4 linked regions of the Anolis sagrei genome follow. The protein of the gene in region 4 interacts with the protein of the main gene of each other region in a pairwise test. Links are inferred from orthologs where the notes say so. Each region holds a gene or a part of one and is shown on either strand. Other genes may lie near its edges.

Region 1 (7,792 bases), on a different chromosome or scaffold from region 4:
ACTGTGTGTCATTGGGTGAGTAAGTTTAAAGATGTTGAGGAGACACCCTCTGCTGTCAAGAATTCAATGACTGCACGTTGATTAAGTCGCATTAACCGACTGTCTGTGCAGGGTTCCATACTTTGCACTTTAACAACACAGCCATTCAATGCTAAGGCTTCCCGCCAAAATGGAATTGTAGAGGAGAGTCTACTGAACAAGCCAGTACCTGCCGCATACCAGTACTGCCATCTGTTGAGTTACGAAGGTGGAGGCATTACTTTTCATTCAACCCTCATATGATCACCTGTTGTTCCTCCCCATTAGCCTAAAGGAGAGCAAACTTCCCACCACGATGGAACTGTAGAGGAGAGTCTGCTGAACAAGCCAGTACCTGCTGCATACCAGTACTGCCATCTGTATAGGAGTTACAAAGGTGGAGGCATTACTTTTCATTCAACCTTCTTAGCATCTCCTGCCCTAAAACCTCAGCCGGAAACATACACCAAATTCCCAGAACTGCAAAGAATTACTGCAAAACTTATTTATTGTGTACGAGTAAGACATACTCTACTTTGCTAGAACTGCAAATAAGTAGTGCAAACCTTCTTTATTGTGCCTGTATGCGTAAGACATAACTCCAGTTTGCCAGAATTGCAAAGAAGTATTGCAAAACATTTATTGTGCCCGTAGGGGTAAGACATACTCCAATTTGCCAGAAATACAAAGTAATACCAAACTTCATACTTCAGTTTGCTGGAACTGCAAAGAAGTGGGGCAAAACTTCTAATTTATTGTGTCTGAATGCGTAAGACATACTCCAATGTGTTGGAAGTGCAAATAAGTACTGCAAAACTTCTAATTTATTGTGTTTGTATGAGTAAGGCATACTCCAATGTGTTGGAAGTGCAAATAAGTACTGCAAAACTTCTAATTTATTGTGTTTGTATGAGTAAGGCATACTCCAATGTGTTGGAAGTGCAAAGAAGTACTGCAAAACCTCTAATTTATTGTGCCTGTGTATGAGTAAGACATATTCCAATGTGGTGGAAGTGCAAAGAAGTACTGCAAAACCTCTAATTTATTGTGTCTGTATGAGTAAGACATACTCCAATGTGTTGGAAGTGCAAAGAAGTACTGCAAAACTTCTAATTTATTGTGTCTGAATGCGTAAGACATACTCCAATGTGTTGGAAGTGCAAAAAGTACTGCAAAACTTCTAATTTATTGTGTCTGTATGAGTAAGGCATACTCCAATGTGTTAGAAATGCAAAGACGTGCTGCAAAACTTCTAATTTATTGTGTCTGTATGAGTAAGACATACTCCAATGTGTTAGAAATGCAAAGACGTGCTGCAAAACTTCTAATTTATTGTGTCTGTATGAGTAAGGCATACTCCAATGTGTTGGAAGTGCAAAGAAGTACTGCAAAACTTCTAATTTATTATGTCTGTATGAGTAAGACATACTCCAATGTGTTAGAAATGCAAAGAAGTGCTGCAAAACTTCTAATTTATTGTGTCTGTATGAGTAAGGCATACTCCAATGTGTTAGAAATGCAAAGAAGTACTGCAAAACTTCTAATTTATTATGTCTGTATGAGTAAGACATACTCCAATGTGTTAGAAATGCAAAGAAGTGCTGCAAAACTTCTAATTTATTGTGTCTGTATGAGTAAGACATACTCCAATGTGTTAGAAATGCAAAGAAGTACTGCAAAACTTCTAATTTATTATGTCTGTATGAGGAAGACATACTCCAATGTGTTAGAAATGCAAAGAAGTGCTGCAAAACTTCTAATTTATTGTGTTTGTATGAGTAAGACATACTCCAATGTGTTGGAAGTGCAAAGAAGTACTGCAAAACTTCTAATTTATTGTGTCTGTATGAGTAAGACATACTCCAATGTGTTAGAAATGCAAAGAAGTACGCAAAACTTCTAATTTATTGTGTCTGTATGAGTAAGACATACTCCAATGTGTTAGAAATGCAAAGAAGTACTGCAAAACTTCTAATTTATTGTGTCTGTATGAGTAAGACATACTCCAATGTGTTAGAAATGCAAAGAAGTACGCAAAACTTCTAATTTATTGTGTCTGTATGAGTAAGACATACTCCAATGTGTTAGAAATGCAAAGAAGTGCTGCAAAACTTCTAATTTATTGTGTCTGTATGAGTAAGACATACTCCAATGTGTTAGAAATGCAAAGAAGTGCTGCAAAACTTCTAATTTATTGTGTTTGTATGAGTAAGACATACTCCAATGTGTTGGAAGTGCAAAGAAGTACTGCAAAACTTCTAATTTATTGTGTCTGTATGAGTAAGACATACTCCAATGTGTTAGAAATGCAAAGAAGTACGCAAAACTTCTAATTTATTGTGTCTGTATGAGTAAGACATACTCCAATGTGTTAGAAATGCAAAGAAGTACTGCAAAACTTCTAATTTATTGTGTCTGTATGAGTAAGACATACTCCAATGTGTTAGAAATGCAAAGAAGTACGCAAAACTTCTAATTTATTGTGTCTGTATGAGTAAGACATACTCCAATGTGTTAGAAATGCAAAGAAGTGCTGCAAAACTTCTAATTTATTGTGTCTGTATGAGTAAGACATACTCCAATGTGTTAGAAATGCAAAGAAGTGCTGCAAAACTTCTAATTTATTATGTCTGTATGAGTAAGACATACTCCAATGTGTTAGAAATGCAAAGAAGTGCTGCAAAACTTCTAATTTATTGTGTCTGTATGAGTAAGACATACTCCAATGTGTTAGAAATGCAAAGAAGTACGCAAAACTTCTAATTTATTATGTCTGTATGAGTAAGACATACTCCAATGTGTTAGAAATGCAAAGAAGTACGCAAAACTTCTAATTTATTATGTCTGTATGAGTAAGACATACTCCAATGTGTTAGAAATGCAAAGAAGTTCTGCAAAACTTCTAATTTATTGTGTTTGTATGAGTAAGACATACTCCAATGTGTTGGAAGTGCAAAGAAGTACTGCAAAACTTCTAATTTATTGTGTCTGTATGAGTAAGACATACTCCAATGTGTTAGAAATGCAAAGAAGTACTGCAAAACTTCTAATTTATTATGTCTGTATGAGTAAGACATACTCCAATGTGTTAGAAATTTATTTATTTATTTATTTATTTGATGCACTTATTAACCGCCATTCTCAGCCCTTACGGGCGACTCATGGCGGTGTACAGTACACATAAAAAGACAGTTACAAAGGCCAGTATCAACAACATATAACTATACGACAAATACAAACTACATAAAAATCCGCTTCGTCTCTTAGTAGAATCATAGCCAGTCTCATCTTCCTTATACCATTCCAGTTCTCATTACCGTAATGTTGTTGCTTAGCACTTAATTAAATGCCCTCTCGAACAGCCAGGTCTTAAGGCTTTTTCGAAAGGACATGAGGGAGGGCGCCTGTCTGATGTGTGCCGGGAGAGTGTTCCACAGCCGGGGGGCCACCACCGAGAAGGCCCTCTCCCTCGTCCCCGCCAGCCGTGCCTGTGACGCAGGCGGGATCGAGAGAAGGGCCTCCCCAGACGATCTCAAGGTCCTCGTGGGCTCGTAGGCCAAGATGCGGTCCGAAAGGTATTTTGGGCCGGAACCGTTTAGGGCTTTGTAGGCCAAGACCAGCACCTTGAATTGGGTCCGGTAGCAAATCGGCAGCCAGAAATGCAAAGAAGTACTGCAAAACTTCTAATGTATTGTGTCTGAATGCGTAAGACATACTCCAATGTGTTAGAAATGCAAAGAAGTACTGCAAAACTTCTAATTTATTGTGTCTGTATGAGTAAGACATACTCCAATGTGTTAGAAATGCAAAGAAGTGCTGCAAAACTTCTAATTTATTATGTCTGTATGAGTAAGACATACTCCAATGTGTTAGAAATGCAAAGAAGTGCTGCAAAACTTCTTATTGTGTCTGTATGAGTAAGACATACTCCAATGTGTTAGAAATGCAAAGAAGTGCTGCAAAACTTCTTATTGTGTCTGTATGAGTAAGACATACTCCAATGTGTTAGAAATGCAAAGTGCTGCAAAACTTCTAATTTATTATGTCTGTATGAGTAAGACATACTCCAATGTGTTAGAAATGCAAAGAAGTGCTGCAAAACTTCTTATTGTGTCTGTATGAGTAAGACATACTCCAATGTGTTAGAAATGCAAAGTGCTGCAAAACTTCTAATTTATTATGTCTGTATGAGTAAGACATACTCCAATGTGTTAGAAATGCAAAGAAGTGCTGCAAAACTTCTTATTGTGTCTGTATGAGTAAGACATACTCCAATGTGTTAGAAATGCAAAGTGCTGCAAAACTTCTAATTTATTATGTCTGTATGAGTAAGACATACTCCAATATGTTGGAAGTGCAAAGAAGTGCTGCACAACTCCTTTATTGTGCTAGTATGAGTAAGGCATACTCCAATTTGCTGGAAGTGCAAGGAAGTACTGCAAAACTTCTTATTTATTGTGCCTGTATGGCAAGGGATGTGTGAGGACCTCCCCTTTGATGAGGCTGCAGTCTCTTACCTGGCCAGCACAGGTAGGTGCTGCAATGCTTTCCAATATAGCATCCACATTGTAGAATTGATGCATTTTGCCACTACTTGCCTAGGTCATGGGATTTTTAGTTTCACAAGGTATTGGGCCTCACGAAGCTGCACTTCAAAGCTGTTAGTAAGGATGGGAGGTCCTGCTGCCGCCCTGGCCACGCCCCCTCCCAGGTGAGGCCACGCCCCCTGCCATCCCAGCCGGGGCGCTGTCCCTTTAAGAGCCTGGCATGAAAAGGGGTGCGGCCCCTTTAAGGGAGCGGCTCCTCCCGGGCCAACGAGGCTCTTTCTCCCTCAGCCTGGAGCAGAGAGACAGGTACTTTTTCTTTCCCTTCCTTTGCATCTGCAAGCTCTTGCCTCCTCTTCCTCTTCCAAGCCTCTTCCCCGCAGCCTCTGAGCATACACAGAGTGCTTTCCTCACTTTATGTCCCTCTGAAGCCACCAAGCTCACCCAGGGTGCATCTACACAGCAGAATTGATCCAGGGTGATACTGCTTTTAACTGCCTGTCTTTGGATTCGTTTTCCATCCCAGTATCTCCCAGTTTCTTTCACTTTTCATCCCAGTATCCTCCCGGCTTTGGGTCAGTTGGCTCTTGTATCAAAGGGTTGCAAACTAATTGATTATTGGGTTGCTGTGAGTTTTCCAAGCTGTATGGGGAATTCCAGGCATGAGACAATCAGGGCCAGCTAACACCTCCCAACGAAGGATTCCCCCAGGCAGGAAGCAGCCAGGTTTGGAAGCTGCAAGGCCGTTCAATGCTAACCAAGGCGGCCAATTGCAGCATTCATACCTAAAACTCTAAAATCATAACAGAAAATAAAGAATAACACTAAAAAGGGGGAATTCCAGACAAGAAACATTTAAGGCCAGCTAACACCTCCCAACAAAGGATTCCCCCAGGCAGGAAGCAGACAGGTTTTGAAGCTGCAAGGCCATTCAATGCTAATCAAGGTGGCCAATTGCAACATTCATACCTAAAACTCTAAAATCATAACAGTAAATAAAGAACGACACTCAAAAACAGGAGAATTCCAGACAAGAAACAATTCAGGCCAGCTAACACCTCCCAACAAAGGATTCCCCCAGGCAGGAAGCAGCCAGGTTTTGAAGCTGCAAGGCCATTCAATGCTAACCAAGGTGGCCAATTGTAACATTAATACCTAAAACTCTAAAATCATAACAGTAAATAAATAACAACACTCAAAAACGGGGGAATTCCAGACAAGAAACAATTAGGGCCAGCTCACGCCTCCCAACGAAGGATTCCCCCAGGCAGGAAGCAGACAGGTTTTGAAGCTGCAAGGCCATTCAATGCTAATCAAGGTGGCCAATTGTAACATTAATACCTAAAACTCTAAAATCATATCAGTAAATAAAGAACAACACTCAAAAACGGGGGAATTCCAGACAAGAAACAATTAGGGCCAGCTAATCATCTGCCAACAAAGGATTCCCCCAGGCAGGAAGCACCCAGTCTTTGAAGCTGCAAAGCCATTCAATGCTAACCAAGGTGGCCAATTGCAACATTCACCTTTGCCTCAAACAGACAAGTGTTCTTTCTCTTATCCTGGATATTATTTCACAGGTATATAAACCTCATTTGCTTAGTTTCGAACACACCTCACAACCTCTGAGGATGCCTGCCATAGATGTGGGTGAAACATCAGGAGAGAATGCTTCTGGAACATGGCCATACAGCTCGGAAAACTCACAGCAGCCCCGTGATTCCAGACATGGAAGCCTTCAACAACTAATGTATTATTATTATTATTATTATTATTATTATTATTATTATTATTATTTATAATCCGCTTTATCTCCCCAAAGGGGACTCAAAGCGGCTATTTCTGAAACTGCCTTGTATTATGTTATATTGTATTATATTTCAGACTCTTTCATTTCACCAGGATTTGTTTCTAAATTACTTTGGAATGTGTAAACCAAGTTGTATCCCTTGTCTTTTAATAGGATACATTTTAATATGTATCTTTTCCAGAAACATGCCCATTATTTATAGAAGTTTTGCAATGTTTACATGTTTTAATTATTCCACAGAGAGAGGCAGGTAACAAACAAAATTATTATTGGGTTGCTGTGAGTTTGGCATGTTCCAGAAGCATTCTCTCCTGACGTTTCACCCACATCTATGGCAGGCATCCTCAGAGGTTGTGAGGTCTGTTGGAAACTAGGCGATCTTTCGGTCAACAAGTTCAGCAGCTCAGCGGTTTAACCCGCTGGACCACCAAAGGCTCCTGCCTATCTATTGAAAAGAGATGTTGACAAGCTGGAATGTGTCCAGAGGAGGGTGGCTAAAATGATCCAGGGTCTGGAGAACAAGTCCTATGAGGAGCGGCTTAAAGAGCATGGCCTGTTTAGCCTGAAGAAGAGAAGGCTGAGAGGAGACACGATGAGGACCATGTATAAATATGTGAGAGGAAATCATAGGGAGGAGGGAGCAAGCTTGTTTTCTGCTGTCCTGGAGACTAGGACATGGAACAATGGCTTCAAATAAATAAATAATAATAATAATTTTATTTATTCATTTATTTATTTAAAATATTTTTATTCCACCCTTCTCACCCCAAAGGGGACTCAGGGCGGAGCACAGCATATATACGGCAAACATTCAATGCCGGAACACATTCTTATATACATACATAAACATTAAAAACATTTATCAAAATATTAAAATACACAGTTTAAAACTGTCCTAGTCATCCACGTTAAATCTAATTGGCCTGGTAATCTTTCCTATTGCTGCTTTATTTCCCTGTCCTGAAATAATAATAATAATAATAATAATAATAATAATAAGTGACATACTGAACTTTTGTACCAGTAAAATAATAATAATAATAATAATAATAATAATAATAATAATAATCTTTCTTTATATCCTGCCACCATCTCCCCAAAGGGGACTCGGGATGGCTAACACCAGGCCAAGCCCAAAGATACAATACAGCAAAATAAAGTGCAAAGCATAACAAAAGTCACATCACAATAAAGTATATAGAGTGGCAAAATAAAGTGAACAAAGCAAAATAGTATAGTAGAAAATTGAATACAAATGGCAGGCCAAATGGAGAAGATAAAATGATAAAACCCTGGATGAGATAGGAGTAGAAAATGTGTATTTGAGAGGAGCCGAAAAAGGTCGAACAGTATGATTAGGTTGTTGTAGGTTTTTCCGGGCTATATAGCCATGTTCTAGAGGCATTTCTCCTGATGTTTC
Region 2 (7,803 bases), on a different chromosome or scaffold from region 4:
CTCAATCCCACAGTTGCAAAAAAAGATGGTTGATAATGGAGAGGAGGAAATGATATAGTTAGGTAAGGCTATTTTCTGCACAAGATTTGAAAGAAAGCTGGTGGTCAACACTTTCAGAAGCCAGTACACTAGAGCAAAATGGTGAAGTCCCTTAGCTGGTAGAAGGGGGACAGCACCAGCCTGCCAGGACTTTGGGTTTCTGTTTTTAAAAAATCACTAGAAAGATAAAAGCAACCAATATGAACCACCAGTAAGGGAGAAAAAAGTAGAAAATATATAGAAATTGAACAGTTCGTTCAAATATATGATCACTTGTTTTCCAATGTGCATTGTATATAGAACTTTTACATGGAAATAGGGTACAGACCACACACGCACACACAGAAATGCTGAGAAAAATTTATTTGAAACAGACTTTTAAACTGGGTCTGAACTTACATCACGAATTCAGGTATGCCAGATGTATTACAAATAATTGTGCCTTATCATATATTCTTAAAGCATAACTGGCTTACATAAACTTATGCATATCCATAGAAAAGTGTCATCTATATGAACACCAGGGAAATTTAATTCCAGGGGAATGGATACAGTAGGGATAAGAAACTGTTCTGAGTGTGTTCCTGGGATTGACCCACACATGACATGACATCACTTCTTGTTTGACATTGGGCTATTGGTGGAGCAGGGGGGTAAAATAAGCAAACTGTGATGTTTAGAAAGTATCACTAAAGAAAATTGGCCAGGGACAGGATTTGACTAACAACAAATGTACTAGAAAGAAGTAGGATTATTTGGAGAATGGTTAAATATCTGCCAGTCTCACTCTTGCTTCTCTCTGTGTGCACTGTGTGAATTCAGCCGTTGCACTGTTCTCTGGTAATGTGGCTCACAAGTGAAAACAATGCAGCCTTTTTCAGATAATAGAAAGATTTTGTAAAAATAGAAAAAGCTTAAAAGCATGCTTCCCAAGTGTTGGGAACCCTAATAATAATCCATTTTTAAGCAATCAAGTCTCCTTAATGAAAATTAGGTGGGATTATTTTGATAGACTATCGGTGTGCTTAGTTTTTGCCTTCACTTACAAGGAAAGAGACTGGAGTATATCCTTTGAAGCAATCTGATCTAATTGGGTTGACACATCTTTCAAAGGTTGACTCAAGCAACCAAAAGAATTATGGCTTACATCTTTTCAAATACAAACATTGAGCTGGAAGGCGTTGCAGAGGAGATAATCTCCAATTCCCCAGGCAGTGCAGGAACTGTAACTAGACCATTTCCAGCATCACTTGTCCAGCCTCTTTTTGAAGATGTAAAGTGAAACTGATTCCATTACCTTTCTAGGAAATTGATTCCATTGCCAAATTTTGTTCCAATGTTTAATCAAAATAGATAGTCCTGTAGCATTGGGACCTTTTCACATGGCCCTTTCGGACCTTGTCATTGCACCAGCAATTGCCAGTTAAAGGGAAGGTGTGCAGGGTGGCATGTGGCACTCTGTGCACCCTCCCCCCTCCCCTCATCACATCCCCTCATCAGATGATAGAAAAGGTAGCAACACACATTGCTCCGCTGCTCTTTCTGCTATCACATGGCAAAAAGGGGAGGAAAGTGCAGGTAGTTCAGTTGGAGCTATGCAAACTACACTTTCCTCCCCAGAGTGGAGAAAAAAAGCACCTTTAGGTGTTTCTCCGTGCATCATGTTATGGTGCATGGCAGGCCCCATCCTTGCCATGATTAAAAGTGGCAAAACAGGGCAAAATCATCCTATCCTCTGGGACACTAGAGAACAAACTTGATCCCTCCTTTCTGTGGGTGCCCTTTTAATATTAAAATGATGCAATCACTCCATCTTGTCTTTTACTCCATCTGAATGAAAATTGGAAATTAGTCAAAAAACAAAACTATTGGGAGAGAATGTGCTGATCAAATGAAAACAAACTGAATGAAGAAACATCAAATGTTTTTCTATGGCATACTGCAGAAAAGAGGCATTTCCAAATGTGGTAAGCAAATATCTTAAAAGGATGCTGGAATGGGATTATTAGTAAAGCCAGGCATTTTTAATGTATCTTCACCATCAATTACAGTCTGGTTCCTTGTAAGATATGATTAATTGAGATTGCTTTGATTATTTTGCTATGTTTTGTTTGGATTGTGTTATTTATGCCTTTTCTGTTAACTGTAATTACAAAAATGACTTAAGGTCTATAAACTGTATGACTATAATTTGCTTTTGCTTTTTTTTTTTTAAAAGCAAAATACAATTGTTTTACTTACATGGTTTCTTTTTATTCCAAATAAACATAGAACTCATGTAATTCTGTAGGGAAAGAAATTAAAGCACACTCTCTATATTACCACAAGAGTGCAGCCAAACTCAATTTTTCACATATACATTTGGGATTTGTTCACAACCTTTTCTAGGTGGAGGTTAGGATGAAAATGTGCAAAAGCAATGCAATGTTAATATAAAACAAAAATACTACTGCTTCCAAAAGCTAGGACAAAACAAATTCAAGGAAGTACTTCAAAGAATTGAGAACTGCAAGGAGAAGACTGTTCTCCATTTCCACCCTTGTACAGGCTTTTTCAAATGTTATAATGCTCCTGGTCATATCAGCTGTGGAATTCTACAAACTATAATGTTTTAAATTTTAATTTTACAAAACTCTATTCATACACCTTCTAAAATATGAATTAATGATTGGGAAGCAGCAATAGTGGGGGTTCACATCTGTGGAATATCTGCCAGAAATAAGGCCAGTGGCACCATAGATAGTGCTTGTTTGCATTGCACAGAAGGAGGCACCATAAATCCCTTTCCAACACCTTTTACCATGACAGCCCTATGATAAAACAATGAAGAAGGAAACAAGAGATAGTGCTAGAAAATTATACTCACAGCTTGGAAGGCACTCAACTAACTTCTGGAATTATCAACTTTAAAGAGCGCTGTGGTTAATGATGCAACTGGACTCAAGTCAGAAAGATTTTCTGTTAACTGATGTGCTAAGAAGTGAAAGGAAATTCCAAAACTGCACAACACATATTATAGGAGTATGAAATGTGGGAAACGTGAATCAGCAGCAGCTAGACATAGTAAAACAAGAAATGAAAGATATAAACATTGCGATACTTGGGATGAGTGAGCAAAAGTGGGCAGGAATTGGACATTTTACATCAGATAATTGCATAGCTTTACTCAGAAAATGGAAATATAAGACAAAATTGTTATTATTAATTTATTTACTTCATTTCTATCTTGCTTTTTTCATCCCTCGGGGGACCCAGAGCACTATACAGCAGTCATCTAGGCAAAAATTCAATGCCTCATTATACAAACTATATAAAACATAACATAAAATCACTAGCCACAATAGACATATAAATACAATGTAAAACATAATAACCCCACACACAATTAACTGCTTCATTTCTAACTGTGGTGTGATAAGATGTTAAACTGCATTTCTGTCACTCGTCAAACTTGCACAGTGGTGTTTCTCAAGTCTCTTGGTCAAGTAGCAGCATTACAGTCTATCATTATAATAGCAACATCACGAGACACCCTACTAGGCCCTCAACTTCCCCTGTCATGATCTTAAGATCTTCTTTGGCTCTCTTGGATAGTGCTGTGTGACTGGGCCCCCAGCAACATCATCCTTTTATCCCCCAGCAGGTGTTTCTGCTGGGCCTTGCTTCAGCCAGGCAGTCAGGGCCTGAGTCTGTAAGGAGCCAGTCACCAGGAACTCAGGTCAAAGGCAGCCTGCAGTAAACAGACACTGCCTCTTCCTCCAAGCTCCCTGCTGCTGATGTTCTTTGGCTCTCTTGGATGGTGCTGTGTCATGGGGTGAAATGCATAGTGAGAAGAGATGCAGCAAAAGTTGTCAAAGAATATAATGCAAAGTATGACCAAATAGTATCAATACAATTTCAGGAAAACCTGAATTGATATGATTTAAATATAATCCAAGTTTGTGTTCCATCTTCAGATGCTGAAAAAGAAATTTAAAAGAATGTGTACTAGAATCCAGAAAGAAATTGACTACACACCTAAACAGGATTTGTTGTTAAGCATAGATGCTTGGGATGAAAAAGTAGGCTTCAGAGCAGAATAAAAAAAATGTTAGTGTTCAATTTGGCATCACATATACTACAACTGAAAGACAAGGCAGCAAAAGATTGTGGGGAAAACTGGCAAATACAAGATGACTAAACGGAGACTATTGCACTTTGGACACAATGTGTGAAGACATGTCTCACTAGAAAAGACAGAGCTGGTTGATGAGAGAGAAGGCAATAGCAAAAGATAAAGACTGCATTCCAGGTGAAGAGGCTCAGCCAAGGAAGTCATAGCCCTCAGTCTGAAAGCTCTGAGTAGGGCTGCTGGTGATAGGGTGACTTGAGGGTTTCTCATTTATAGGGTCACCATAACTTGAACTTGAGTCAATGTCAGTTAACAACAAGGTACTGGCATAGTGTAACTCTGAAATCAATATGCCTGACTTACTTTGGGATAACCTTCTGAAGACATGAATTGTCATCTGTAGCTTAGGCCTCAGGTCACTTCCATAGAAAGCAATGCAACACTTTGTTTTTTTAGCTTGTGAAATTGTGCAACACTGTTATTAAGCATAGGATTTAGACATGTTTACTTGAAGATATACCTAGATGAAACTAATTAGACTTGTTTCCCAGAAGACAGGGTTAGAAGTGGGTTGAGGTTTGTAACTTAGATAAACAATTGTACGAAGCCATTTTAAATAGCTAGGATTTAATTCCAAGTTATGCATTTCAAAGTAGAATTTGTAAAAAAAATAGACTACAACATTTACAATTTCCAAGCAGACATGCTGAAAGATGTATTACCTAAAAAACAAACAAACAGACAAAACAAGAAATGTGCAGACCATGTTAGGTTTTATGAGAGACTAGAAAGATCAGCTTTGTCACTTTGAAAGTACAAACTGTCAGATATCTCCTTGAGATACAGGGGAAGGAGGAATAGGAATAGGAATAATAATAATTAATAATAATAATAATAAGGTTGCAAAAAGAAGACTTATCTCTATTTCTATAGCAGCAATGTTTTATAACTACATTTGTTCTAGTAAATGGCTAAGAAATGTAACCAAATGAATATGTTGTTTTCTAGTTTATGCCCCTGGTTTTTATTTTACTTGAAACATACAACAAATGAACAATAAGATAGAACTAAACTAATTTCAGTATTATAAAAGTTTCAAATTATACTCAATAAAATACATTTAAAAGTCAAAAATTATTTAAATACAGTTGCATTTAAATATAGCACTATTTAGCTCAAACTTTAAAAAAAATTGTATTAAAAACCTGTCAAAATATTTAAAAAAGTTTTCCACCTGTTAATGGAAAAACAACAAGAGAGGAGTCTAGGGACAGTCAGTGAAAAGGCCCTTTGTGCTTGTGATTCAAGGAAGTGTCAGACTTGATGATATCAGGGCTTATGCAGGCTCATATAGGGAGGCACCTCACGCCAGGCATTTGAGGAAGTAGGCTTTGCCTACAAGCTTCATTCTTTCAGTTTCATCTATGCTTACAATCGTGCCATCACCACTCAAGCAGGGAGCTTTGAAATGGCTGAACAGAAGCCCTCTTAATCCTTAGGTGCTCTTGTGGTCTATTACAGGGAAAACCAGCTGATGCCTAATCCATCTAAAATGCAGATGTGTGCTTTTCATTATAAGAAGAGACAAGCATCTTAAGCTCCGAGGATTACTTGGGAAGGAATCCCACTGGAGCATTGCAGCACACCAAAATACCTGGGCTACAAAGTGGAGTCCACGACATGCGAGTGCGGAGAAGAGGAAACCACAGACCACTTATAGCAATGCAGTCTGAGTCCTGCCACATGCACAATGGAGGACCATCTTACAGCGACATCAGAGGTACAAGTATTATCAGTACACTTCTGACACAATCAATAAATGAAAATTCTTTTAGTTATACTCTACAAGTAGTCTTTGTAGATTGATATTCCAGACTAACATTGTTGAATGTGGAGATACAGTCTGATAAATAGCCTAGACCTGAGCCCCATAGGACTTTATAGGTCATAACCAGCTTTTTGAATTGTGCCCAGAAACAAACTGGCAGCCAGTGGAGTTGTTGTAATGGGAAAAGTATGGTACCCGTAGCCTGCTCCAGTTAACATGCTGCAGCTCTTTGAATTAGCAAAAGTTTCCAAGCACTCTTCAAGGGCTGCCCACATACATGTTACAGAGTCCAAATGGAGTGTAACTAAGGAATGTAGCACTATAGTCAGATTAGGTAGCTCAAGAAATTAGCTTAGTGGGTGTACAAATGTGAAAGCACTTCTGGCCACCACAGAAATGGGTCTCCAGATTCAAAACTGAATCCAAAAGCGTCCCCCAAATTGCAAACTTGTGTCTCTCTTCAGTGGGAGTGTAACTCCATTTAACACAGATTGAATTCCTATTCCTTGATCTGCCTTTGATTGTCTTGTCAAGATTTCTCCAAGTCAATTACTGGATTAGACTCAAGGTCACCTGTTTGAATTAAGGTGGAAAGGAGTAATAGAAGAGGGTGCCATCTGCATAGTGATGACACTACACTCCAAAACCAGAAGACTTCTCCCAGCAGTTTCATGAATATTCTTAGATAGCCTGAGGGAGAAAACAGAACCTTGAGAAAACCTGCAAGCCAAGAGGCAGGTGTCTGTGAACAGGATTCAGTCAACACCACCAGGAAGGATTGGAGCTACTATAAAAAGTAACTTCAAATTCCATTCCAGTGAGGTGGCCCAGAATTATACTATGACCAATGTTATTGAAAACCACTGAGACATCCAGCAGAACTATTTGAGATGCACACCCTCATCCAGTTCCTAGCCTAGACCACCCATCAAATTGCAGAAAAAGAAATTCCACTTAAACATTTGAAAAAAAATGTCCTGATTGTTAGAGTTGTATGACAGTACAATACACTGCCTTAGAGTGTGGTGGGGTCTCCTTCTCTTGAGGTTTTTAAACAGAGGATGGATGGCCATCAGTTGGGAAAATTTTGATCATGTCTTCTGTAAGATGGGCAATTGAACTGAATGGCCCTTGGGATCATCTCCTGTATGAATCTAGGTAAGAAATCCTTGAGTCTGTCAGGCAGAAGGACAAGCCCTCATCCATATGTACCTCAAGTGACTCATCCAAAGAGGTGACTCCTTTTTTGTGTTAATTCCTTTGGCAGCAGCCCACCCCCTCAAGAGACCTGCTTTTATAACCAGACTCACAATAAGTCAGTTCTGTAAAGAGCAAAGTACCAAAATACAACAAAGGCCCAAAATAGCAGCAACAAACAGTCACTTAGAGACTCCAGATTGCCTCTGTGGTCCTTTCTCTCTTGTTTGTACTGGAGAATAGAGGCTTCTAGCCAAAGCCAAAGGCAGTCATCAATCCAGCATGGGGACAGAAGTCTACTTGTTTCTTGATATTCTACATTTGCACACGCATAGCCTGTGCCTTCTTAAGAGACACATGATTTGCAAAAAATATAGAAAAAAAGACATGTTATACAGTGGAACCGCTACTTAAGAGCATTTTGAGTTAAGAGCAGTTGTTTGTCCTAGGTTTCACTTTGACATAAGAATAGCATTTTGAGTTAAGGTCTAGCAGCAGAGGGAGCACAAGTAGAATCATATGATCATAGAATCAGAGTTGGAAGGGACCTCATGGGCCATCCAATCCAACCCCCTGCCAAGAAGCAGGAAAATTGTATTCAAAGCACCCCCGACAGATGGCCATCAAA
Region 3 (8,013 bases), on a different chromosome or scaffold from region 4:
GTGTGTGTGTGCGTGTGTGTATATATATATAGATAGATAGATAGATAGATAGATATAGATATATAAAAGCTATCCCCTGCCAAACGTTTGTGTGTGTATGTATGTGTATATCTGTGTGTATATGTGTATTTATGTGGTTATGCACATGCATTTTTATGTATTTTGGGTTTTTTTTTTTGTTTTTTTGGGGGGTTGCTTTTTAAGTCTCTTCTGATGTGTTTTTCAGAGTTTTATGAGTGATGGTCTTGTGTCCAAATTTCATGTCAATTTGTCCAGTGGTTTTTGACTTATGTTAATCTCACAAATGAACATTACATTTTTATATATATATATATATATGTATGTATGTATGTATGTTTGTATATAACACAACAGTGCCTAGCTGGCTTGATGGATCTGGACCAAACTTGATACACAGACTCTTCATTATCCAATTTATATTTATTTATTATTTATTTATTTACAACTTTTATATCCTGATCTTCTCTACCTCCGTAGAGGGACTCAGACCGGCTGACAGCAAAAATTCAATGCTAACAGTAAAAATCTAAAACAGGGGTCCTCAAACTAAGGCCCGGGGGCCAGATACGACCCTCCAAGGTCATTTACCCGGCCCTCGTTCAGGGTCAACCCAAGTCTGAAATGACTTGAAAGCACACAACAACAACAACAACTACTACTACTACTACCCTATCTCATCAGCCAAAAGCAGGCCCACACTTCCTATTGAAATACTAATAAGTTTATATTTGTTAAAATGGTTCTTCATTTTAATTATTGTATTGTTTTTCAGTGTTTTTTTGCGCTACAAATAAGATATGTGCAGTGTGCATAGGAATTCATTCATGAGGTTTTTTTTCAAATTGTAATCTGGCCCTCCAACAGTTTGAGGGATTATGACCTGGCCCTCTGTTTAAAAAGTTTGAGGACCCCTGATCTAAAACATCATGCATCAACAGTGAATTAACAAATACATATAGGATAAAATACATAAAAGCCATTTGTCATGATAAAATCATGTCCAATTCAGTCCGTATATTGTGGTGAATAACCGATCTCAGCCATCATTCTGCAAAAGCCTGATACTGGTAGGTTGTTTCAAGGGGAGGCCGGATAGAGGGTGATGGGAATTGTAGTCCACGCACATCCATTGTGCCCTGTCAATTAATCTGGACCTTTTTTTTTTTTTTTTTTTGTCGTGTCAGGAGTGACTCCTGGTGTGAGAGAATTGGCCAAGGACGCCCGGATGATTTGATGTTTTTATCATCCTTGTGGGAGGCTTCTCTCATGTCCCCGCATGAGGAGTTGGAGCTGATAGAGGGAGCTCATCTGCCTCTCCCCGGATTCGAACCTGTGACCTGTTGGTTTTATTTATTTATTTATTTCGGTTGCTTCTACCCCGCCCTTCTCACCCCAAAGGGGACTCAGGGCGGCTTACAAAAGCAAGGCACAATTTGATGCCCACATCATATAACAACAATAAGACAAAATAACATCCATTAACAGAAAACAACAATTCTTGCAAGGCGAAAACAACCATAAAACCAGTAAAAGCAATAAAACCAATACAAACCATTTCTCCTCATTGACGGTCAGCATTTCGCAATCTCATAGTCCAGTTTCCAATTCCACAATTGTCAATCCTGTCAGTCCTATCCATCTGGTTGTCCATATCTAGTTGTCAGATTGCCCGAAGGCCTGGTCCCACAACCACGTCTTTACCTTCCTCCTGAAGGAGAGGAGGGATGTTGATGCCCTAATTTCCCCCGGGAGTGAGTTCCACAGGTGAGGGGCCACTACTGAGAAGGCCCTGGTCCTCGTCCCCACCAACCTCACTTGTGATAGCGGTGGGGTCGAGAGCAGGGCCTCCCCAGATGATCTCAGACTCCGGGGTGGGACGTAGAGGGAGATACGTTCAGACAGATACACTGGACCGGAACCGTACAGGGTTTTGTAGGTCAAAACCAGCACCTTGAATTGTGCTCGGAACTGAACCAGCAACCAGTGGAGCTGACACAGCAGGGGGGTGGTGTGGTCCCTGTATGTCGTGAGCAATCTGGCTGCCGCTCGCTGGACCAGTTGAAGTTTCCGAACAGCCTTCAAGGGCAGTCCTGCCGGCAAAGGGGTTTAACCCACTGCGCCACCGGGGGCTCCTATCTGGACCAAACTTGGTATACAGACCCTTAAGGGCCCTTCCACAGCCATATGACTCAGAATATCACGACAGAAAATCAATATATGCTTGGTATGGATTATCTGAGTCCACACTGCCCTATATCCAAGTTCAAAGCAGATAATGTGGGTTTTATGTATTGTCGAAGGCTTTCATGGCCGGAATCACTGGGTTGATGTAGGTTTTCTGGGGCAATATGGCCATGTCCTAGAGGCATTCTCTCCTGACGTTTCGCCTGCATCTATGGCAAGGTAGTGTGGGTTTTATTCTGGGGGCTGAGATACTCTCAGGGTCGGGGGCGGGCTGAGAAAGGAGGATGGGAGGTGTAGTCCCGCCACATCCAGCCTGGGACCGTGACCGGTCTTCCCCGCCGCCCTGGGCCCTTCGGGACGAGGGATGCTCAGGGAAGTTTGTGCTGGGATGCCTTCGCGACCCAGAGAGAGACGCCCGCTTCCCCTTCTCCCTTCCTTCTTTCCTTCCTTCCTTCTTTCCCCGGGCGGGAGGCACTCACTTTTTGTGGGGCTGCTGCTTCTCCTTCCTGCCGGGCGCCGCCGGGTGTTTGGCGCGCCGCCTCCGGGCCTGCAGGGCCAGCACTGTGCCACAAGGGAAGGAGAGGAGAGAGAGAGAGAGAGGTTGAAGGCTGCTGCTCCTTCCGCGCCCCTTCTCCGCGCTCCTTCCCCGGCCCCCTCGCCTCCCTCCCGGGCCCCGCTTCGGCTACCTTTCCGGGAGCTCATCCTCCTCCTCCTCCTCGCCGACTCCGTGAGGGAACGCCGGGCGCCCACCGAAGAGCAGCAGGAGCGGCAGCCGCCCCGTTAGCAAGCGCGCATGCGCTCTTCATCCCAGCCCAAGCGCGAGGCGGCGCCGAAGCAGGAGGGGGGGTCGTCGCTAAGCAACCAAGAGGCGGCTGGGCCAAGATGGCGGACTGGACCTCCTCTGAGGGAATCCCAACTTTTGCAGAACTGGGCTGCTGTGAGTTTTTTCTGGCAGCCTGAAAAACTCACAGCAACGCTCGTCCCTTCCACACTGCTGAATAAAAGCCCACATTGTCATCATTGAACGGGAATACATCGCAGTGTGGACTCAGATAGTCCAGTTCAAAGCAGATATTGTGGGATTTTCTACCTTGATATTCTGGGCTATGGGAGCCCCCGGTGGCGCAGTGGGTTAAAGCACTGAGTTGCTGAGCTTGTTGATCGAAAGGTCACAGGTTCGATTCCGGGGAGCGGCGTGAGCTTCCGCTGTCAGCCCTAGCTTCTGCCAACCTAGCAGTTCGAAAACATGCAAATGTGAGTAGATCAATAGGTACCACTCCGGCAGGAAGGTAGCGGTGCTCCGTGCAGTCATGCCGGCCACATGACCTTGGAGGTGTCTACGGACAACGCTGGCTCTTCAGCTTAGGAATGGAGATGAGCACCACACCCCAGAGTCAGACATGACTGGACTTAATGTCAAGGGACTACCTTTACCTTTACCTTTATTCTGGGCTATATGGCTGTGTGGATTTATTTATCGTGTCAGTTGCAACAAATGCTCCATTCAGCAAAGGACAAGAGGGATCCTCTCACTTCTGCAGGAGTCTACTGTGTACCATGCAGCGGTGGACAAGTCTATATGTTGTTCACTCGTTCAGTCGCCTCCAACTCTTCGTGGCCTCATGAACCAGCCCACGCCAGAGCTCCCTGTCAGCCGTCACCACCCCCAGCTCCTTCAAATTTATAATATAATGTAATGCAATATAATACTAATAATAACATGATATTATAATTATATATTTATATTACATATAAATACAGAGAGCTCTGGCGTGGGCTGATCCATGAGGTCACGAAGAGTCGGAGACGACTGAACGAATGAACAACAACAACAATATTACTAATAATATTACAATATAATTGGTATAGTATAATATAGCAATATTTAAAACTGATATTGTATTATGCTAATAATATAATATATTGTATGTATATATACCTTGTAAGCCGCTCTGAGTCCCCTTCGGGGTGAGAAGGGCGGCATATAAATGTCGTAAATAAATAAATAAATAAATAAAGGTCAGTCCAGTCACTTCAAGGATGCCATCCATCCATCTTGCCCTTGGTCGGCCCCTCTTCCTTTTACCTTCCACTTTCCCCAGCATAATTGTCTTCTCTAGGCTTTGCTGTCTCCTCATGATGTGGCCAAAGTACTTCAACTTTGTCTCTAGTATCCTTCCCTCCAATGAGCAGTCGGGCTTTATTTCCTGGAGGATGGACTGGTTGGATCTTCTCACAGTCCAAGGCACTCTCAGCACTTTCCTCCAACACCACAGCTCAAAAGCATCTATCTTCCTTCGCTCATCCTTCCCTAAGATCCAGCTCTCACATCCATAGGTTACTACAGGGAATACCATGGCTTTGACTATGCGGATCTTTGTTGCCAGTGTGGTGTTTCTACTCTTTACTATTTTATCGAGATTGGTCATTGCTCTCCTCCCAAGAAGTAAGCATCTTCTGATTTCCTGGCCACAGTCTGCATCTGCAGTAATCTTTGCACCTAGAAATACAAAGTCTATCACAGCCTCCACAATTTCTCCCTCTATTTTCCAGTTGTCAATCATTCTTGTTACCATAATCTTGGTTTTTTTTTATGTTTAGCTGCAACCCAGCTTTTGCGCTTTCTTCTTTCACCTTGATTAGAAGGCTCCTTGATTAGAAGTCTATATAGGGACCACCAAATGCAGCATCGCCCAAACACGAATCAAGGAACATGAAAGGCACTGCAGACTACTTCAACCAGAGAAGTCAGCCATAGCAGAGCACCTGTTGAACCAACCTGGACATAGCATATTATTTGAGAACACAGAAGTGCTGGACCACTCTCACAACCACCATGTCAGACTACACAGAGAAGCCATTGAAATCCACAAGCATGTGGAAAATTTCAACAGAAAGGAGGAAACCATGAAAATGAACAAAATCTGGCTACCAGTATTAAAAAACTCTAAAATTGCAACAGCACAACAACAGACAGGAAGCAGGCAGGGACATCTAATTGCCTCTCAACAAAAGTTTGCTCCAGGCACTGCCAGGCAATCAAATGCTAATCAAGGTGGTCAGTTGAAACATTCACACCTAGCTCCAGCAGACAAGAGTCCTTTGTCCCACCCTGGTCATTCCACAGATATATAAACCCTTTTCCCTAGTTCCAACAGACCTCACTACCTCTGAGGATGGTTTCCATACATGCAGGCAAAACGTCAGGAGAGAATGCCTCTAGACCATGGCATACAGCCCGAAAAAACCTACAACAACCCAAAATTCAGTATTATTAAAACTTATGCAAGAAACACTTTGGATGTAAACAACCACACTATGATTAGGTAAAAGCATCCCCAAAACAGTCAATTGCAATATTAGAAATTGATCTTAACCTGGATTTTCAATGCTGCCAATGCAAAAAGAGACATTTTGTGAGTAACCACTGGCTTAGTGTCAGCCAAAAGGTAGAAAATCTCTTCTGAGTCAATGTTGGATTGCAGAAGATACAGAATACGTAGGTCCCAGGATTTTATCTCTTGGCTCACAGTACAAAGAGCAGGAAAACAAATAATGGGGTACATCCTCAATTTCTGGGGCCCCACAAACTGGATAATCTGAATTATATGGTAGTATAGAAGAAGCCTAATGGGGTTGCTTCTGGCTGTAAACAAATACAATTCTTTATCGCTTTTCTGCTGCCATAAACAACACAGGGAGTCTTCCCCCCTGAATGCAATTTCTCAAGTCAGTGTGCATTTTGGAGCATTTTGGATTCAGAATTTGGATTGTTTGTCATAATTGTTAGTGTGTGTTTTTTTAATAAGTGCAGTTTTGTGCTATTTCTAGAGCCTTACACATTTAAATATACAGTACACAGCAAACAGGCATCACCATTAAAGCAAAGTCACATTCTCTCAGCCTCAGGGGAAGATAATGACAAACCTTTTCTGGGCAAATCTTGCCAATGGGGTCACCTTAGAGCAGGGGTTTTCAAAACCTTTTCAGCCACTGAGCCCTTTTTGAAGCAAATTTTTCATGGAGCCCCAGGAAATGTTTATATTTTATTATATATATTATGTATATATATTCAACATGAGCAAACTTGTGGACATAGGGGCCGCATTGCATTTTAAAATCTAACACATGGGCCAGGCCAGTGGCAGGTGGGTGGAGAGTATTTGTGTGAACTAATTGGTAAAAATGTGAAGAAATCCCTATGCACCCTGTACATATCTAATTTTTAGTGCAAAAAAGAAAGAAAGAACAATATGTTTAAAATTAAGAATAATTTTAGCCAACATAAACTTAACAGTATTTCAGTTGAAGACCCCACAGGCCATCCAGTTCTTCTGCCATACAGTAAAAGCACAATCAAAGCATCCCCAACAGATGGACATCCAGCCTTTGTAATAATAATAATTTTATTTATTTATTTACAACATTTATATGCCGCCCTTCTCACCCCGAAGGGGACTCAGAGCGGCTTACAAGATATATATATATATATATATACAATATATTATTAGCATAGTACAATATCAGTATTATATATTACATTACATTACATTATATTATATTTATTATATTATTAGTAAAGCACAAGAGACAAGATAGAACTGTCTTCTGCCCACTTCTCTCTTCACTCTGGCCAGAGCAGCAGTTGGTGCTGGGGGGGGGGGGGGGCTCCCAACTGATGATATAGGCAGGAGACAAGATGGAACTGTCTTCTGCCCCCTATTATTATTATTATTATTATTATTATTATTATTATTATTATAGCAGAAACCAAAGCGGCCATCCAGTTCAACTCAGTTCTGCCATGCAGGAAAAACGCAATCAAAGCACCTCTTGAGCAGGGGAAAATAGGATCTCAGAAGCAAAGAAGGTTGGGGGGGGGGGGCGGGGAGGCTCTGGGTGGCAAAGAGAGTCTGTGCATGAGGGAGCCAGGGAGAAAGGGTCTGTTCCCTGAGAAGATACTGCTGCTATTTCCGCAGCTCCAAACTTTAATTTTTTTTGTATTTCTGAGGAAGAGAAGGAGAAAGAGGAGAAGCCTGGAATCCATCAAGGTGTTTCAGCACCCATTGTTTCCTCAGCAGGGATCCACTGTGAAATTTTGACTCATAGGATTAGAATTATTAAATACCATCAACCCCAGACCTTGTCCACATTCCTTCCCTTAAGCACCCAAAGGAGGTGGATACAGAAAATGACTACAAGCTACAAAATGAGCAATGACAGTTTATTAAATTTCCTGCCAGACCAGTAAATCAATTAGCAGCAACAGCAGGCGAATTGTTTGGTGCTCCCACCAAACATTGCGTAGATCGTAACTTGCACCAATAAGCACCTGACGTGGCAAAAGTACATTATTTCGAATTGCTGTCAAGTTTCAATAAACATCTCCATTGCCTTTATGTCTGATAAGGTAAAGGTAAAGGTTTCCCCCTGACATTAAGTCCAGTCGTGTCCGACTTTGAGGTGTGGTGCTCATCTCCATTTCTAATCTGAAGAGCCAGCGTTGTCCGTAGACAACTCCAAGATCATGTGGCCAGCATGACAGGATGGAGCACCGTTACCTTCCAGCTGGAGCGGTACCTATTGATCTACTCATATCTGCATGTTTTCAAACTGCTAGGTTGGCAGAAGCTGGGGCTGATAGCGGAAGTTCATGCCACTCCCCAGATTCAAACCTGCGACCTTTCAGTCAACAAGCTTAGCAGCTCAGTGGTTTAACCCACTGCGTCACCGGGGGCTTCTTATGTCTGATATGGGAGTTTATTTATACCCCACTTTTTCTCTGTACAAAGGAGATTCAAATTGGCT
Region 4 (7,972 bases):
ATTCCTATGCACACTGCACATATCTTATTTGTAGTGCAAAAATCATTTTAAAACAATACAATAATTAAAATGAAGAACAATTTTAACAAATATAATCTTATTAGTATTTCAATGCGAAGTGTGGGCCTGCTTTTGGCTGATGAGATAGGATAGTTGTTGTTGCGTGCTTTCAAGTCAAATCAAATCATTTATTTCGGTCACTGACTAGCACAGGAAATAAGAGTCACATTTTCATACAAACTTGGTATGTTTGGTACATTAAAAATATAAATATAACTACTGAAGCACAATATGGGTGAGGGAGCGGAAAAGAAGGGGAAACAGGGTAAAAACATGCAATGCCCAGATCCATCACCAAATTGTAGATTCAAAGAAGAAGATTACTGGACACACAGTTAACATTTGGGACTAACGTCCTTGCAGACGGCCAATTCTCTCACAACAGGACACTCCTGACACGACCAAAAAAAAAAAATCCCTGATGGATTTTGTATGCTTTGCAACATTGTAGGTTGTAGCTGAATTAATATCTGCAAGTAGCATGGAGGTATAAAATTGTCCTGAACGGCGTGGGTGCTTGTATAACAGAGGTAAGATAAGTCTGGCATGGATATCCTTGTAGAACGGGCACTTTCAAGTCGTTTCAGACTTAGGTTGACCCTGGGTGAGGGCCGGGTAAATTACCTTGGGGGGCCATATCCAGGCCCCCGGGCCATAGTTTGAGGATGCCTGATTTAAGCCAATGGGATTTTGGCCTGCATTAATAGGAGCATGGTGTCTAGGTCCAGGGAAGTCATGCTACCCCTCTATTCTGCTCTGGTTAGACCACACCTGGAATATTGTCTCCAATTCTGGGCACCACAATTCAAGAGAGATATTGACAAGCTGGAATGTGTCCAGAGGAGGGCGACTAAAATGATCAAGGGTCTGGAGAACAAGCCCTATGAGGAGCGGCTTAAGGAGCTGGGCACGTTTAGCCTGAAGAAGAGAAGGCTGAGAGGAGACATGATAGCCATGTATAAATATTTGAGAGGAAGCCACAGGGAGGAGGGAGCAAGCTTGTTTTCTGCTTCCCTGGAGACTAGGACGCAGAACAATGGCTTCAAACTACAAGAGAGGAGATTCCATCTGAACATGAGGAAGAACTTCCTGACTGTGAGAGCCGTTCAGCAGTGGAACTCTCTGCCCCGGAGTGTGGTGGAAGCTCCTTCCTTGGAAGCTTTTAAACAGAGGCTGGATGGCCATCTGTCAGGGGTGATTTGAATGCAATATTCCTGCTTCTTGGCAGAATGGGGTTGGACTGGATGGCCCAGGAGGTCTCTTCCAACTCTTTGATTTTATGATTCTATAGGTAAACTTTGGAACTTCTAGGTGTTTTGAACTTCAACTCCTATAATTCCGAACAGCCTTTGACTTCAACTCCCATAATTCAGCCTATTGGCTGTAAGGAATTGTGGGAGTTGAAGTCCAAAACACCCTGGCCATCTTCCAACTTAAAAGTCCGTCTCTTTGAATTGTTTTGCCCAGAACGGTGTTATCCCAAGCAAAAGAGTGGGATTGCTAGGCCTTGTTCTCTTGTTTCCTCTTAATCAGGCATGGGCAAACTTGGGGCCTCCCTCCAAGTGTTTTGGGACTTCAACTCCCACAATTCCTGGCTTCAGGCCCCTTCCTTTTCCCAAAACACCTGGAGGGAGGCCAGGGAGAAAAGGAAAGGGCCTGAGGCCAGGAATTGTGGGAGTTGAAGTCCCAAAACATCTGGAGGGAGGCCAGAGGGGAAAGGAAAGGGCCTGAGGATAGAAATTGTGGGAGTTGAAGTCCCAAAACACCTGAAGGGAGGCCAGGGGGAAAAGGAAAGGGTTTGAGGCCAGGAATGGTGGGAGTTGAAGTCCCAAAACACCTGGAGGGAGGCCAGGGGGGAAAGGAAAGGGTTTGAGGCCAAGAATTGTGGGAATTGAAGTCCCAAAACACCTGGAGGGAGGCCAGGGGGAAAGGAAAGGGTTTGAGGCCAGGAATGGTGGGAGTTGAAGTCCCAAAACACCTGGAGGGAGGCCAGGGGGAAAAGGAAAGGGCCTGAGGCCAGGAATTGTGGGAGTTGAAGTCCCAAAACACCTGGAGGGAGGCCAGGGGGGAAAGGAAAGGGTTTGAGGCCAGGATTTGTGGGAGTTGAAGTCCCAAAACACCTGGAGGGAGGCCAGGGGGAAAGGAAAGGGTTTGAGGCCAGGAATGGTGGGAGTTGAAGTCCCAAAACACCTGGAGGGAGGCCAGGGGGGAAAGGAAAGGGTTTGAGGCCAGGAATGGTGGGAGTTGAAGTCCCAAAACACCTGGAGTGAGGCCAGGGGGAAAAGGAAAGGGTTTGAGGCCAGGAATTGTGGGGGTTGAAGTCACAAAACACCTGGAGGGTGGGCCCAAATTTGCCCATGCCTCCTTTGATGCAATCTATAGCTTGATTCCCATTCAGCTTGAGGCCTACAAAGCCTTCGAGGTCCCTTTCTTCCCCAACAAGCCTCCCTGCCTCCTTTGAACTCCTCAGAGGTATGTTTGTGACCTTTCCACCCAAAGCCCTGGACTCCAACTCCCAGAATCCTCGAGGGGCCTAGGCCTCCTGGGAGTTGGAGAGAGTTGGGAGGCTAGGCCGCATCTCCATGGCAACCGCGGGGGCCCCGCCCATGCCCCGTCTCCTTGGCAACGCTCTGCGGCCTACTCACCTTATAGAAGGCCCCGTTGGAGCCGCGCACTTCCACGGAGAGGCCCTCCATGGGGCCCGAAGGCGACGCCGGGGAGGAAGAGGCCGCCAAGGGGGAAGGCGGGGGGATTGGGGCCGGAGGGCGAGGCCCGGCTTCCTCCCCCGGGTCCGCCACCGTGACCGGTGCCTTCAGGCCGGAGCCTCCCCCACTCTGGCCTGCCGCCTCCCTTCCCTCGCCTCCGCCAGCCGGAGAGTCCGTCCTCCCCTCACAGAGCCAGCTTGAGAATGCGCATGCATGGCCCCGCCCCTCCGTCCGCGCATGCGTCGAGCCGGAAGACGCTTGCCTTCTTTTTCCCCCTTCAGGCCACGCCTACTCCATTCGGCCCCGCCCCCTTTCTCGTCAGCGTGAGCCAATGAGAGGCAGTCATTCCGCGAAGGAGGCGGGGCTTAGCCTTGTTTCAGCTCCTCCCACTCCCTTGTTTCTTCTCATACAACCAATAGGGAAGCCGTCCTCCAACATGTCAATCATAGGAAATGTGAGCCAATGAGAGGCGCTCATTCTGCCAAGGAAGTGGGGCTTAGCCTTATTTCAGCTCCTCCCACTCCCTTGTTTCTTCTCATACAACCAATAGGGACGCCGTCCTCCAACATGTCAATCATAGGAAATGTGAGCCAATGAGAGACGCTCATTCCGCCAAGGAGGCGGGGCTTAGCCTTGTTTCAGCTCCTCCCACTCCCTTGTTTCTCCTCACGTACCCATACAACCAATAGGGACGCCGTCCTCCAACATGTCAATCATCAAAGAGGCGGGGCTTACCCTTTCTTAGACTCCTCCCACTCCCTTGTTTCTCTTCACGCCTCCTCTTTCTCCCCCGCTAACAACCAATAGAGAAGCCTTCCTCCAACATGTCAATCATAGTTCTCTCTAGGAAATGTGAGCCAATAAGAGGCGCTCATTCCGCCAAGGAGGCGGGGCTTAGCCTTATTTCAGCTCCTCCCATTCCCTTGTTTCTCCTCACGCACGCATACAACCAATAGGGACGCCGTCCTCCAACATGTCAATCATAGGAAATATAAACCAACGAGAGGCGCTCATTCCGCCAAGGAGGCGGGGCTTAGCCTTATTTCAGCTCCTCCCACTCCCTTGTTTCTTCTCACGTACCCATACAACCAATAGGAACGCCGGCCTCCAAAGTGTCAATCACAGTTCTCTCTAGGAAATGTGAGCCAATGAGAGGCACTGATTCCGCCAAGGAGGCGGGGCTTACCCTTATTTCAGCTCCTCCCACTCCCTTGTTTCTCCTCACGCACGCAAAGAACCAATAGGGAAGCCGTCCTCCAACATGTCAATCATCAAAGAGGCGGGGCTTGCCATAATTTCAGCTCCTCCCACTCCCTTGTTTCTCCTCACGTACCCATACAACCAATAGGGACGCCGTCCTCCAGCATGTCAATCATGGTTCTCTCTAGGAAATGTGAGCCAATGGGAGGCGCTCATTCCGCCAAAGAGGCGGGGCTTTCCCTTATTTAGGCTCCTCCCACTCCCTTGTTTCTCCTCACGCCCTCTCTCTCTCCCCCGCTAACAACCAATAGAGATGCCTTCCCCCATCATGTCAATCACAGTTCTTTCTAGGCGATGTGAGCCAATGAGAGGCACTGAATCTGCCAAAGAGGCGGGGCTTGCCCTTATTTAGGCTCCTCCCACTCCCTTGTTTCTCCTCACGCCCTCTCTCTCTCCAACGCTAACAACCAATAGAGATGCCTTCCCCCATCATGTCAATCACAGGTCTTTCTAGGCGATGTGAGCCAATGAGAGGCACTGAATCTGCCAAAGAGGCGGGGCTTGCCCTTATTTAGGCTCCTCCCACTCCCTTGTGTCTCCTCCCCTTCTCTCTCCCCCGCTAACAACCAATAGGAACGCCTTCTTCCAACATGCCAATCATAGTCGAGGTTTTTTTTTTTTTTACCCCCACCCCGCTCTTAAAGGCGCAGGCGCAGAAGGGGGACCGACCAATGGTGAAAGTACTCCTGGCTCCTTTGCAACCAATCCTGACTCGACTTCTTTCAGCCCCTCCCATAGGGCTTCTGGACGCCCCGCCCTCTTTTTTTCCATCCTCAAAGGGTCGTAATTTTGGAGGAGCCCCGCCCCCGTCATTGAAAGCACTAATGGCATGAAAAGCCCCGCCCACAAATCGGGCCTTGCTCGGTCTTGATTGGCCAGTCGGTCTGAATTGCTAAGGCGGTTATTTATGAGGAGAAACAAGTGGCCTCCCCTGAGGATTGGGGGCGGGGCCAGGATTCCTCTGGTTGTGACCCCGCCTACTTTATTGAATGGACCAATCAAAGACGCCAGCCCGCCTCTCCTTGCTTCACTTTCCCTTATTATCCGCCAAAAGGGGGCGGGGCTTCTTCCTTTAGAGTTGCGGGTTCGAGTCCCGCCTGGGCTGAATTTGAATTCTAAATTTAATAGAACCCAAATTTAATAGAAGCAAAAAAATAGGGTGTTTTGGTACCCACTTCCTTCTTATGTTTATTTATTTATTTAAAAACACACATAATTTATTTACAATTAGAATCAAAATGTCTATTTCTCATGAGAGGACATCTGCACCTCAGTTTTATGCCACATTAACCTATGGGATTTGTATATCTGGAACTCCAGCACCAGAAACACCAACTTCTTCATAAAACTATAATTCCCAGGATTCCACAGAAATGTGGGGCCATGACAGTTAAAGGTGTTGAAGGAGGCTTCAAGGGTCTCTGAGTGAAATTAAGTAAGGGGCTTTGAATGAAATTAAGAGAGACAAACCCTTCTCTGTAGAAAAATAGCAGTATGGAATAAAATGTTTTTAAGAAACAAGATGTGATAGGATGCGTTGTGGTTAACTTCAAAGGTTGTTTTTGAAGCGCAGAGGCCGCATGTATAAGTAGGTACTTTCCATCAAAAGGTCAAGAGAGGGGGCTGGAAAGAGACTACTTTCCATGACAAAAAATTGTTCTTGTTTACTTGAGGTTATATATTTGGTGGTCAAAAGCCAAGGGGGACGGCAGTCACTTGAAGGGTAACATTTGCGCATGTTGCCTGGCTGTCCGTCTTCTTCATGAAGAAATCAAAAATAAAACCTTGGTTTTTTTTTATCTTTCATTGGGAATGTCTCCTTCCTTTCATGCTCCCGCGACGTGGACCTAAGAAGACCCAATTTAGGGTCTCTAACTGTCACAAAACTGGTACAACTGTGCAGTGCAGATACATCCATTCTCACTCCTGTTTTCTTTCAGAGTGTTCAGGCTGAACATCAACATTTAGTGCATTCTAATTGACTTTCATTTTGGAACACAAGAAGCATTTGACGAGGACTCAACACACAGAGAAACCATTTTAAAAGGCTCTCAAATTAAAAGACAACAAGAAGCAGAATTGTGGGAAAGACCGAAGTTGTGCTTTGTTTGATACTAAAAAATACCAGCTATGGCCTTTCGTAAATGGTTCAAATTTCCTCAGACGGTTTGACATCAAGATGGATGACTGAGGGAGACAAAATGGCTGCCAGTTGGCTGTTCCATGTCAAAGACGGCTCATTATTACCCTGCAATAATTAAACGACAACAGAATTGTGGAAAAGACCGAAGTTGTGCTTCGTTTGATACTAAAAAATACCAGCTATGGCCTTTTGTAAATGGTTCAAATTCCCTCAGACGGTTTGACATCAAGATGGATGACTGAGGGAGACAAAATGGCCGCCAGTTGGATGTTCCATGTCAAAGACGGCTCATATTTACCTCGCAATAATTAAACGACAACAGAATTGTGGAAAAGACCGAAGTTGTGCTTCGTTTGATACTAAAAAATACCAGCTATGGCCTTTCGTAAATGGTTCAAGTTCCCTCAGGCTGTTTGACATCAAGATGGCTGACTGAGGGAGACAAAATGGCCACTGGTTGGCTGCACCATGTCAAAGACGGCTCATTATTACCTCTCATTTCGCTACCAATAAGCCATCATGTCTAGAATCTTTATTCTGGGTGAAATCAAGAGGCAGTGGGGGGATTCTTTCTTTTAAAAATATTAGTTTTGGGCCATTTCATAAACAGTCCAGTTCCCCTCAGGAAGTGTGAAATCAAGATGGCTGACAGAAGGAGACAAAATGGCCACCATTACCTCATATTAAGTCACTATTACCTCGTATTAAGTCACTATGAAGACATTTTTTGTCATTATTTTGGCTGAATCCAAGAGCAAATTCTTGTGATTTTAAAACATATATATTAGTTATGATCATTTCATAAACGGCCCAGTTCCTTTCAGGCAATTTGACATCAAGTTGGCTGACTGAGGTAGACAAAATGGCCGCCGGTTGACTGTGCCATGACAGAGGCGGCTCATTATAACCTCATAGTAAAGGTAAAAGTTGTCCCCTGAAATTAAGTCCAGTTGTGTCTGACTCTGGGACTGTGGTGCTCATCTCTATTTCTAAGCCAAAGAGCCAGCGTTGTCCGTAGACACCTCCAAGGTCATGCGGCCAGTCTAACTGCATGGAGCGCCTCACATTAAACAACAATTAAGCCGTTTTCATGTAATTATTTTGGCTGAAACCAAGAGCAAATTCTTGTGATTAATGACCACTTCACAAATGGCCCAGTTCCCTTCATACAGTTTGACGTCAAGATGGCTGAGTGAGGAAGACAAAATGGCCACTGGTTGACTTCACCATGATAGAAAAGGATCATTATTACCTCATATTAAGCCACAATTGAGTCATTTTCATGTAATTATTTTGGCTGAAACCAAGAGTAAATTCTTGTGAATATATATATATATATATAATGACCACTTCATAAATGGCCCAGTTCCCTTCACACAGTTTGATGTCAAGATGGCTGAGTGAGGAAGACAAAATGGCCACTGATTGACTTTGCCATGACAGAAACGGATCATTATTGCCTCATATTAAGCCACAGTTCAGTCATTTTCATTTAATTATTTTGGCTGAAACCAAGAGCAAATACTTGTGATATATATATATAATGGCCACTTCATAAATGGCCCAGTTCCCTTCACACAGTTTGACATCAAGATGGCTGAGTGAGGAAGACAAAATGGCCGCTTGGTGACAGAAATGGATCATTATTACCTCATATTAAGTCATAATTAATTCATTTTCATTTAATTATTTTGACTGAAACCAAGAGCAAATTCTTGTGATTATATGTAATGACCACATCATAAATGGTCCAGTTCCCTTCATGACGTCCCATCTTGACGTCCCTTTGACGTCAAGATGGCCG

What was found.
Region 1: the proteins of FXR2 (region 4) and SYTL4 interact in binary tests that used the Homo sapiens proteins (3 or more experiments, as listed by UniProt). The two-hybrid records come from large-scale screens. The link is inferred for Anolis sagrei from reciprocal best matches to the Homo sapiens genes FXR2 and SYTL4.
Region 2: the proteins of FXR2 (region 4) and LCP2 interact in binary tests that used the Homo sapiens proteins (3 or more experiments, as listed by UniProt). The two-hybrid records come from large-scale screens. The link is inferred for Anolis sagrei from reciprocal best matches to the Homo sapiens genes FXR2 and LCP2.
Region 3: the proteins of FXR2 (region 4) and SRPK2 interact in binary tests that used the Homo sapiens proteins (3 or more experiments, as listed by UniProt). The link is inferred for Anolis sagrei from reciprocal best matches to the Homo sapiens genes FXR2 and SRPK2.

Annotation. Positions count from the first base shown.
Region 1 is NC_090030.1:10,025,915-10,033,706, reverse strand, and holds the start of SYTL4 (synaptotagmin-like protein 4), read left to right. Parts: upstream 1-4,790; 5' UTR 4,791-4,871; intron 4,872-7,792. UniProt on the Homo sapiens protein: Modulates exocytosis of dense-core granules and secretion of hormones in the pancreas and the pituitary. Interacts with vesicles containing negatively charged phospholipids in a Ca(2+)-independent manner.
Region 2 is NC_090022.1:104,302,969-104,310,771, reverse strand, and holds the start of LCP2 (lymphocyte cytosolic protein 2), read right to left. Parts: upstream 3,004-7,803; 5' UTR 2,906-3,003; intron 1-2,905. UniProt on the Homo sapiens protein: Adapter protein primarily involved in signaling pathways within T-cells, as well as other immune cells such as platelets, mast cells, and natural killer (NK) cells.
Region 3 is NC_090025.1:83,987,859-83,995,871, reverse strand, and holds the start of SRPK2 (SRSF protein kinase 2), read right to left. Parts: upstream 3,003-8,013; 5' UTR 2,908-3,002; coding exon 2,892-2,907; intron 2,767-2,891; coding exon 2,685-2,766; intron 1-2,684. UniProt on the Homo sapiens protein: Serine/arginine-rich protein-specific kinase which specifically phosphorylates its substrates at serine residues located in regions rich in arginine/serine dipeptides, known as RS domains and is involved in the phosphorylation of SR splicing factors and the regulation of splicing.
Region 4 is NC_090026.1:3,122,265-3,130,236, reverse strand, and holds the start of FXR2 (RNA-binding protein FXR2), read right to left. Parts: upstream 3,009-7,972; 5' UTR 2,757-3,008; coding exon 2,706-2,756; intron 1-2,705. UniProt on the Homo sapiens protein: mRNA-binding protein that acts as a regulator of mRNAs translation and/or stability, and which is required for adult hippocampal neurogenesis. Specifically binds to AU-rich elements (AREs) in the 3'-UTR of target mRNAs.